Linked DNA regions of Callithrix jacchus. The main gene of each other region encodes a partner of the protein of the gene in region 2 in a complex. Links are inferred from orthologs where the notes say so. Each region holds a gene or a part of one and is shown on either strand. Other genes may lie near its edges.

What was found. The genes of interacting proteins can lie anywhere in the genome.
Region 1: POLR1H (region 2) and POLR1F share a complex: the UniProt entries of both Homo sapiens proteins name them as parts of the RNA polymerase I (Pol I) complex. The link is inferred for Callithrix jacchus from reciprocal best matches to the Homo sapiens genes POLR1H and POLR1F.

The regions. Positions count from the first base shown.
Region 1 is NC_133512.1:38,561,226-38,565,608, reverse strand, and holds the start of POLR1F (DNA-directed RNA polymerase I subunit RPA43), read right to left. Parts: upstream 2,857-4,383; 5' UTR 2,836-2,856; coding exon 2,582-2,835; intron 1-2,581. UniProt on the Homo sapiens protein: Component of RNA polymerase I (Pol I), a DNA-dependent RNA polymerase which synthesizes ribosomal RNA precursors using the four ribonucleoside triphosphates as substrates.
Region 2 is NC_133505.1:34,798,420-34,802,813, reverse strand, and holds the start of POLR1H (DNA-directed RNA polymerase I subunit RPA12), read right to left. Parts: upstream 2,896-4,394; 5' UTR 2,853-2,895; coding exon 2,782-2,852; exon of another isoform or gene 2,616-2,781; coding exon 2,461-2,615; exon of another isoform or gene 2,383-2,460; intron 2,224-2,382; coding exon 2,123-2,223; intron 1,917-2,122; coding exon 1,807-1,916; intron 1-1,806. UniProt on the Homo sapiens protein: Core component of RNA polymerase I (Pol I), a DNA-dependent RNA polymerase which synthesizes ribosomal RNA precursors using the four ribonucleoside triphosphates as substrates. Can mediate Pol I proofreading of the nascent RNA transcript.

The DNA of each region.
Region 1 (4,383 bases), on a different chromosome or scaffold from region 2:
ACTGAGAGAAATTACTTGGGAAAGCAATCTTCTGAGGTTTTAATTTCTGCATGTGGCATTCCTAAGATGGAATCATCCTATCACTAAGAAAATGTTAGGGACACAGAAAACAGAGTTAGAGAATAGGAAGAAAAAGTAACTGCCATATTAGAGAGAAAAACAAAAATTAAGACTTTATTTCCCCTAATCAAATCTCTCAACTATCAGAGAGTGATTCTCAAGTGGAAGGAGGACTGTGGTCCCCTGTGGGGCACGGAAGAGTGGGCCATTTGGAAATTTGTGATACTATTCATGGTTATCACAAACCTTGTCGAATCCAGGAAAGAAAAGAGTCTGCCATGTACAGGACCATCCTGTACAATGAGGAAATATTAATAGCTCTGACTTTTGAATAAAGGGACAAATCTGTTTACAAATAGCTAGGCACATAATTTGACTCTTAAAAGTCGTAAACACAAAGTCATTTTTGCATAGTTTTAATATATATTAAAATTATCAGGAATTCAGCAATATATAAATTCAGGGGAGATTTTATTAAAAGTCATCAGATATGTGAACACAGGCACCCAACACTATAAACTTTTTCCTCCTTCACTTTTGTTTTTCTAAATGGGTATCAGGGCAAGGTGGTAGCCTCATTTTAGTTCTTTGGTAATATATATTCAATGTTTTGTCCCTTATTAGCAAAGCATAGTTCAAAGTGTGGTGCCTGATTTGCACCTGAATAAATAGGAGTCTTCAGCATACTCAAGTAATGTGGAAGGAATGGTATCCAGATCTGTTCAGAGCCACTCTGGGTGACTTTCCCCTAGCCTGTCAAGTGCAGGCAATACTGATGACAGAAAACAAAATAGTTGCTTGTGTTTCCAGATGTTATGACCACTTTGTATAATCTTAAATCTAAAAACCATCCCCTCTAACCATTTTCTCTTAGACAATTATAATATTATCTTAATTCATCTCCTTGTCCACATTCTCATCCTATTTGGTAGCTAACCATTAAGGCTACCAAGTGCTGTTTCTTAAAGTGCAAATCTGATATGCCAGGACTACAAACATGTGCTACTTTCTCAAAAGTGTGTGAGGTCTCAGAGTTAAAGGGTATTGAGAGGATGAAGCACTAACCCTGCCTAAGAAAACAGAAACACAAAAGGAAAAACAACCATACTTTTCACCCCTAAAACCAAAAACTGGCAATGGCAGGAAGGGAAAAGCAAAATAGCCATACTCTGAGTCATTTTTGACCCCCTGCCCTTCTCTCCAGTGACTTCCAATGCCTTTCCCCTGACATACACCTTATTCTGCTTATATAATAGATACAGCTCCCTAGGCATAGCATACCAGTTCACATCCAGTATCCGTTTGTTTATGCCACTCTCTTTGTCTGGAATACTATCATGTGAAAGTACCCTTTTCTGTCAAGTTGTTCTCAAAGGTCCCAAGATCCAAATTCAACACTCCTTACCTTATTAGATTTCTGTCAAATTTTAACACTTCACTATTTATTGGCTTGAATCTGTATCTCTACTACAGCTTATATAGCTCCTTGAAACAGGGATTTAATTTTTTGTTTGTTTTTATATCTCAAATTCTCAGTATATAATATAAACATACAAGAACTGTGTGTTGGTGCTTGGCAGAAGCTGTATATTCTAGACATGCTTGACTATCAGCCTGTGTGTGTTGGTCCAGGATCCCTTAAGAAAATGGTAAAAGCTTTGGATACCAGCACCCAAGGAACTTCACATGGGAATTCCTGAAGGGCAATCATGAATTCCTAGGAAATCCATTCACTCTAGTTTTAGAACCCTCTCTTTTGAACCAAAGTATAGTCCAGAGGAATACTAAAGCACATGCCTGCACCCCCTCCACACACATACTTCTGTAATTCTGAGTTTTCAAGTTGCTTTTGAATACTGTAATATAAATGAATACGTTTTGGGTTTTTCTCACCCAAAAGCAACAGGTTTACTAGTTCGATTGCATAAATCGTCTTAACAACAACAACAACAACACTAAACTAATGGCATTTTCATCATCCCCAGATCAGATCCAAAAGAAGAGAACCTGGGGAAATTACCAGAGCAAAATCCAACAAAAACGTGCTTCACGTTTTACAAATAGAACAGTTGTATTAATGCTTCATGTGCAATCTTCTATGGAATGAGAATCTACTTAAGCACTGCAAACCAAATTTTTATTGTCAAATGAGAAAACATCATCCGGAAGGGGATAAATGAAACGTTGAATGCCATACAGAACCGGGCCTACTAGGTCTCCAGACCCCTGCTCTGTTCCTAACCCTACCATCAGGGATCTGGAGCGAGAATCTCCACTTCCTCCGCCCACACCTGAACTTCACCTTTAAGTTTTCTTCTCTATCTGAAAGGGACCCTGTATAGATCTTTACCAGAGCGGTACTGGCCTTGAGGGACGGATCAAGACTCTAAAATTCCACGGGTATAAGCTCTGGGGGGCAGTGCGACCTTTACCATTTCTCCCTTTTTTGCTACGTCATCAGCACATCCACCTGCTGGTACTTCCCGTGCACAAAAGAAGGAACAGGCAAAGAGATCAGTACCTCTCAGAATAGCGCAGGAGCTCCGCATCCAGCTGCTCTCGAATGCCAGTGCGTTTCCTATTAAGGTAGCGGGGCGACAGAGCGATGTGCCTTCGGTGCGGCCCGGCCACCAGGCATGAGTAGCGATTGTTCACCAGCTCACAAGCAGTGGCATAAGTCGGCAACTCTAGGCAAGGTAGGACGCCAGCCTGCCCTACCAGAGACCCATCAGAAGCCGCCTTTTGCCGCGGCGCCTCTGAACAACCCGCAGCCATGTTGCTTGTCAAGGTTCCCGCGGCGCGCACCGTTGACGCAAGCGCAATCGCCTGTCCCCGACGCTCTTTTTACGTCATCCACCAACTACCACGCCCCTAGGAATTTGCCCTCTTGACGCTGCATTACGCAGTCTGGCCAGCAGGGGGAAACAGGTTTTTCGCTCTTTGAAGAGGAGTTTAAGAGCCCCAAGTACATATTGAGCATGCGCGAAGCCAAACAACTGCTTTTTTGAGGGCGGGCAAATGTGTGTTTTTCCCACTGAAACTTACTGGGTTTATTTACTAGGTAGCTTAAAAAGGGGGGTTCTCAGTTTGATAATTTCCAGTGGTAAGGTGGTTTGGTACAATTTTACAAACTTGTACTGTACAATAAAGATTCAAAATATTTATGGAGTATATTTTATGCAGTACACGAAATCCTAAGCAACAGCTCAGATAATTAAAATGCAACATGTCTGAAAACGGGCCCACTATTTCTCTCCTGTTCCGCTTCTCTCCTCATTATGCAATTGCTAAATTAGGGAATCACGTCACAGCCAAGGTGTCAGCCTCGGATCCTCTTTTGTATCCCCAAATATCACATCAGCCTGAAGGCCTGTATTGCCTTATGTATAAATATTGTATTTGGACACTATCCTCTTCTCCTGCTGCCAAAACTTCAGGACACTCTGCCTGTGGAAGCCTAGCTTAATGGTCGGGAGGACACTCTGCGGCAGCCAGAGCTTCCCTGAAACATGTGATCATGTTGTGTCCCTCCAGGATAACATAAACTCCTGAAAATGGTTTATAAGTTACAAGGCCATTTTGTGATCAGCCCACAGCTTCTCTCTTCAGCTTCATTTGTCACAAGATCTAGACCAGCTGCAAGACTCCCCGCCCTAATGTTATCATGCTCCTTAATCCACTCTCAGGTCTCTTTCTTTAGTCTTAAGCTGTTGCTTCTATCAGGGAATATAACATTTTTCACAAGGGTAACTTCTACTCATCTATGAATTTTTAGCTTAGATTTTACATTCTGTTCCTTCTCAAAGAGTTTTCAACCACCCTATTCCTTTTTCTCTATAAGGAGTAAGTAACCATCTATGTTCGTTTTTACGTTAATTTTATATTAACAGCCCATTTGCTTGCCTGTTCCATCAATAGATTCCTACAGTCACTAAAGCGGGTACCATAATCTGTATTGTTCACTGCAGTGGCCCACATGTCTCATCCCTCCTCCAAAGAAACAGAACCAAAACTAAGAAAAACCCAATCAATGCATCCTGAATGAATAACCTGATAATAAGTTAATAAATAAGTGATAAAGAACTCACAACCTAAGTGGAAAAGGGTTACTCTGGGTAAGTGCAAGAGACACATATAGCAGTGATGTGAATACTGACATATTCCCTTCTCTCTTAGATACTGGAAAATGCCTCTAACCTCTCTCAACCTGATTTCTGACTTGTAAAATAGGAAAAATAATACTACCTTAGAGAGATGATAGGAGGATCAAACAAGACAAACAAAAAATATTTTCTTTGATATTCCTTAAATGACTGCAAACTC
Region 2 (4,394 bases):
AGAATAAAAAGGGATAAGCTGGACCTCATAAAAACTTAAAACTTCTGCTCATTTAAAGAGGGTTAAGAAAATAAATAGGCAAGCCACAGTCAGGGAAAAAAAATCTTTTTTTTTTTTTTTTTTTGGTAAAATGACAACCAGCGATAGGAAAAAATACTCTTAAAAGATATATCTGACTGTGAATATTTTTAATCCATTGATGAGATGGTGAGAAAGTAAAGGCAAACTTCACACTGGTAAAAGTTATGCAAAACCAGAAATCCAGACAGTGAAAACTGAAGTCCCAATGAAACGTGACACTATGGTGCCCTTAATACTGTTATGACGGTCACTGAAAGCATAGGAAATGAGGGACAAAATGTAAAAGGTCTGATAGGAGATTCCCTGCATAAATTTGGGAACTGCAAAGAGCTGCCCTTTTTTGTAAAAGTGAACAAGAAAAGAAAAAATTCAACTCTATAGAAGGGGAATTTGTCTTAGTAGGCAGGAGAGAAAACTCTCTCCTGAGAATTTCTAACCATAAGCTAACCCTTACGTGGATTTGCAGCTCAAATTCATACTATCTGTCTGCTCCAAAAAACATGAAGCCAAGAATTTATTTAAAGTAATTCCAGCTTGATAGTGCTTCAAGGAAAAGAAATGCAAATGCTGAGAATACAGCACTCACTCAAGGTCTCAAAGAATTCCTACAGTTCAAGTTCTAAAAAACTCAAATTTATAGACAAAATCACAAAACAGAAAAAAGGCACCATGAGAGAGCAGAAACAAAAGACAGCAGCATCAGAAGACAAAATCCATGGATATCAGAATTATGAGACATAGACTATAATAACCATAATTAATATTTTAAATATATAAAGAATGAACAATTTAAAATATGATTAAGGAACTGAAAATTATTTAAAAATTGAGGAGATTTGAAAAGTAAATAGAATTCAAAGTAATAGCAATAATAAAAAATAATATTTAAAATAAACTGAAGACAGAATTAGTGACATGGAAGAGGGACCTGAAGAAATTACCCAGAAGGTGGCATAAAGAGAAAAGCGATTGAAATATGAAAAGAGGGTGAGAGAAATGGAGGACAAAAGAGACACCTCTCTTCTTGTAACTAATTAGAGGTCCAGAATGTGAGGACTGGGAACATGGGGGAAAGGCAATATTAAATGAGATGATAGCTGATAATTTTCCAAGGCTGATTAAAAAAAAAAAAAATTCACTCTCAGTTTCAGAAAGTGCAACAAATCCCAAACGGAATTTTTAAAAAATCACATTTTTATATACTGTAGTGACTGAAGGACACCAAAGACAAAGATGATGTCTTAAAATAATTCAGAAAGCCCATGTTCCCTAAATCGTGCGTGACTAATTTTCTCCAATGTAAAGCTACCTTGACTGCAGTTGAAGACTGCAGTATAAGATGCCGACCACTAAACAATACCTGCTTCTTATGTTTTTTGTTTGTTTGTTTTTTCATTTCCTTTTATATATCCTAAAAGTAGGTCAGACAGGGTAGCTCATGCCTGTAATCCCAGCCCTTTGGGAGGCTGAGGTGGGTGGATCGCTTGAGCTCAGGAGTTCAAGACCAGCCTGGGAAACACAGAGAAATCCCATCTCTACTAAAAAAAAAAGAAAAAAGTGTAATAAAAAAAATAAAAAAAAAAAACCAACCACAAATGTTCTTATTACCAGAACTGCACAGAAATGGGACGAAAGGAAATGGTGGTTTAGAACAACAACAACAGAATCACTGGATTTGTTTAGTTAGCAAACAGACTGAGCAGAGGGAGGGGAAGGGATGCCCACTTGCAGTTGGTACAGGTGTAGAAGACAGTTTGCCCTTCGTCTGCTGAACGCATCTGTCTGGTGTGGTAAGCCATTCCTTCATGACCACATCGAGAGCAGCGCCTGTCAACCTGGGAAGAAACCGGTGGGTTAGGGAGGCCAGTTCATATCCCCTCACTTCCCACAGGAATCAGGCGATCACTCCTCTCAAACATGGATGCTTTACATCTCTTTTCCCTCTTGGACTTGGGCACACAACTCTCCAGATCTCTGCAATCATTCCTCCGTTTCTTTCCTACCCACCTTATGGAGCCAGTCATTGAGCTCATTAACTTACCACAGGTCCCTGGAACTCAGGCCCTTCCTCCACCGACACAGGCATGGCTGTCCCCAGCTGGTGGAACACAACTGAAGTCTTCACAACCTTCCCCTCAAAGTCTGCACAGGCAAGTAAGAACTGGTTATGGAGACAACCAGAGGGAGCTGACACCGGAAACCTCCCCTTTCCCCTGACTGGTTAGGCCAGGAAGCCCTATATCCTTTCCTTCATTTTTCATCTCGAGACCAAATGTACAATTGCCTGATCTCCTGCTCTAGGGTCCCCTGCCGATCTTGAGGTCCCCAAGTTTCCGACCCTGGACCCTCCGCCAGGACCACTGCGTACAAGCCTCTCACCCCGAACGTTGATGTTGAAGCCACAGCGAGTACAGGTAACCGTATCCTGAGCCCCTGGCAGAGGCAGGACCGAGCCGCACTCTGAACAGAAATCCAAGTCCGACTGAAAGCTGGAGCAAGTGCTGGCTAGGTCCATGACGCATATGCGGTCAGGCCTGAAGAGGGAGTTAGAAGTTATATTAACAAAAAGAGAGGAATCCCCCCAACACAGAGGTCATAACAGTTCTGTCCCAGTACCTGGGAGTATATAACCCGAGCTCTCCTCCCACGCACGCCTCCTGCCTCTGTGACCAGGGAGCTGAAACGCCCGGAATGGCTTACCAGCTAGCGTCGGGTAGTAAAGGACTTGCAACCCTTTCCTGGGGCCGGCGAGAGGAGCGAGCCAACTCCATGGGCTAGAGCGGCAGCTCTACGCCCGCCGCTCAGCGGCGAGCTAGAGCCGGCTAGAGCGTCACGCATTCGGGCTGACAATTGGTTGTGACGTCATAAATAATTGCGAACCTTGTCTCGGGAGCCTTAGAGATGGAGCCTAACCTCTCCGAAGGGAGTTTGCGGCTTCACTTTCACCCTAGTGCTGAGACGTTGAGCACAAAATTCGTAGCCAATGCTGCGCTTCCAGCAAATTTTCCCACCAGTACCCAATCCTCGGATATTTATTCTTTGTCTCACATCCTACAGGAACCGAGTCCCGGGAGATATCCCCCTGAAAACTGTATTTTGCTGAATACTGATTTCTTTGGATTAGAGAACTACAACTATCCCTGATCCTGAGCAGGTTTTTCCCTTTTGCGGCTGCAGAGTAGTTAAAAAGAAAGCTAAGTGTTCTGGGACGTACAGTTTTAGTGTTCCTTGGGTCCCGCTGGAGAACGTGGGCTTTCAGCAGAGCGCAACTAGCCTTGTGTGCTTTGGGAACAGTTCGCCGCTTGTAAGGGGTAAGTCGGATTCTTGAGGGACCGCAAGTGGTGAGGGTGAAGTCAGGAGGTACAGGGTCCAGCCCTACAGGGTTCTGTGAGCCCCTCTCTGTTGGTGTGGAGAAAAGAAACCAGAAATAAAAGACATAAGACACAGAGATAGAAAGTTTGGGTGGGGTGGCGTGGGGTGGGGGGGGTTCACTGCCAGCCAGATCGCGGAGTCCGGCAGTGGCCCCGGTCGTGTCTGCGCATTCTGACTTTTTTTGAGTACAAAGCTGAGGGCAGGGTAAGTAGGTGTGGCATTGGTGGTTGGTGGTCAGCAACCAGGGGAAAGGTAGATGGGGCGTAGCAGTGATAGGGTCAAGTACATCACATATCATACAGGTACGGACCCAGGAATTTCTAGGAGCCGGGATGAGGCAAGGAGCCTAATGCGTTAGCACTTTTCCATACTTGTTAAGAAAGAACAAAGACATTAAGTTTATATTACTCTTACTGATTATCTCTTCTAAGAAAATAGGAACCTGGTACAGAAGTAGGACATGAGAGTGGACATGGAATGTGACCACTGAAGCACAGCATCACATAGAGACAAATAAGCCCCCGGATGCCTGTGGGTCTACCTGACAGCTGTCAGGCCTAAGGCAAGAGATTGGAGGAGTGGAGTTTTCGCTTAACTCCCCCGGTGAATGAGACGTCTCAGCCAGCTTTGGACGCCTCCTTCCCTAGCTGGCTCAACAGCGGGCATTTTCTCAGTGCTGACGCGGTAGCACAGCAGAGGCGGCCCTAGTCGCCCTTATGCAGGCATAGCTGCTGTAAAGCGTCTTGCTTTAGGGTCATTGCCCTCACAATGTCACCCCAGGTTCTCACTTTCCGGCCTGAGACCTGAGAGGCATTAGTAAAAGAATTAAGATCACCTATAAATAACTAAGATCACTTGTGAATAATTAAGCCATCACTATTTTCTCTTGTGAAGGACAGAAGCTGTAGTCTTTCGTTGGAAGAGGCTCCCATCTGCCTTTC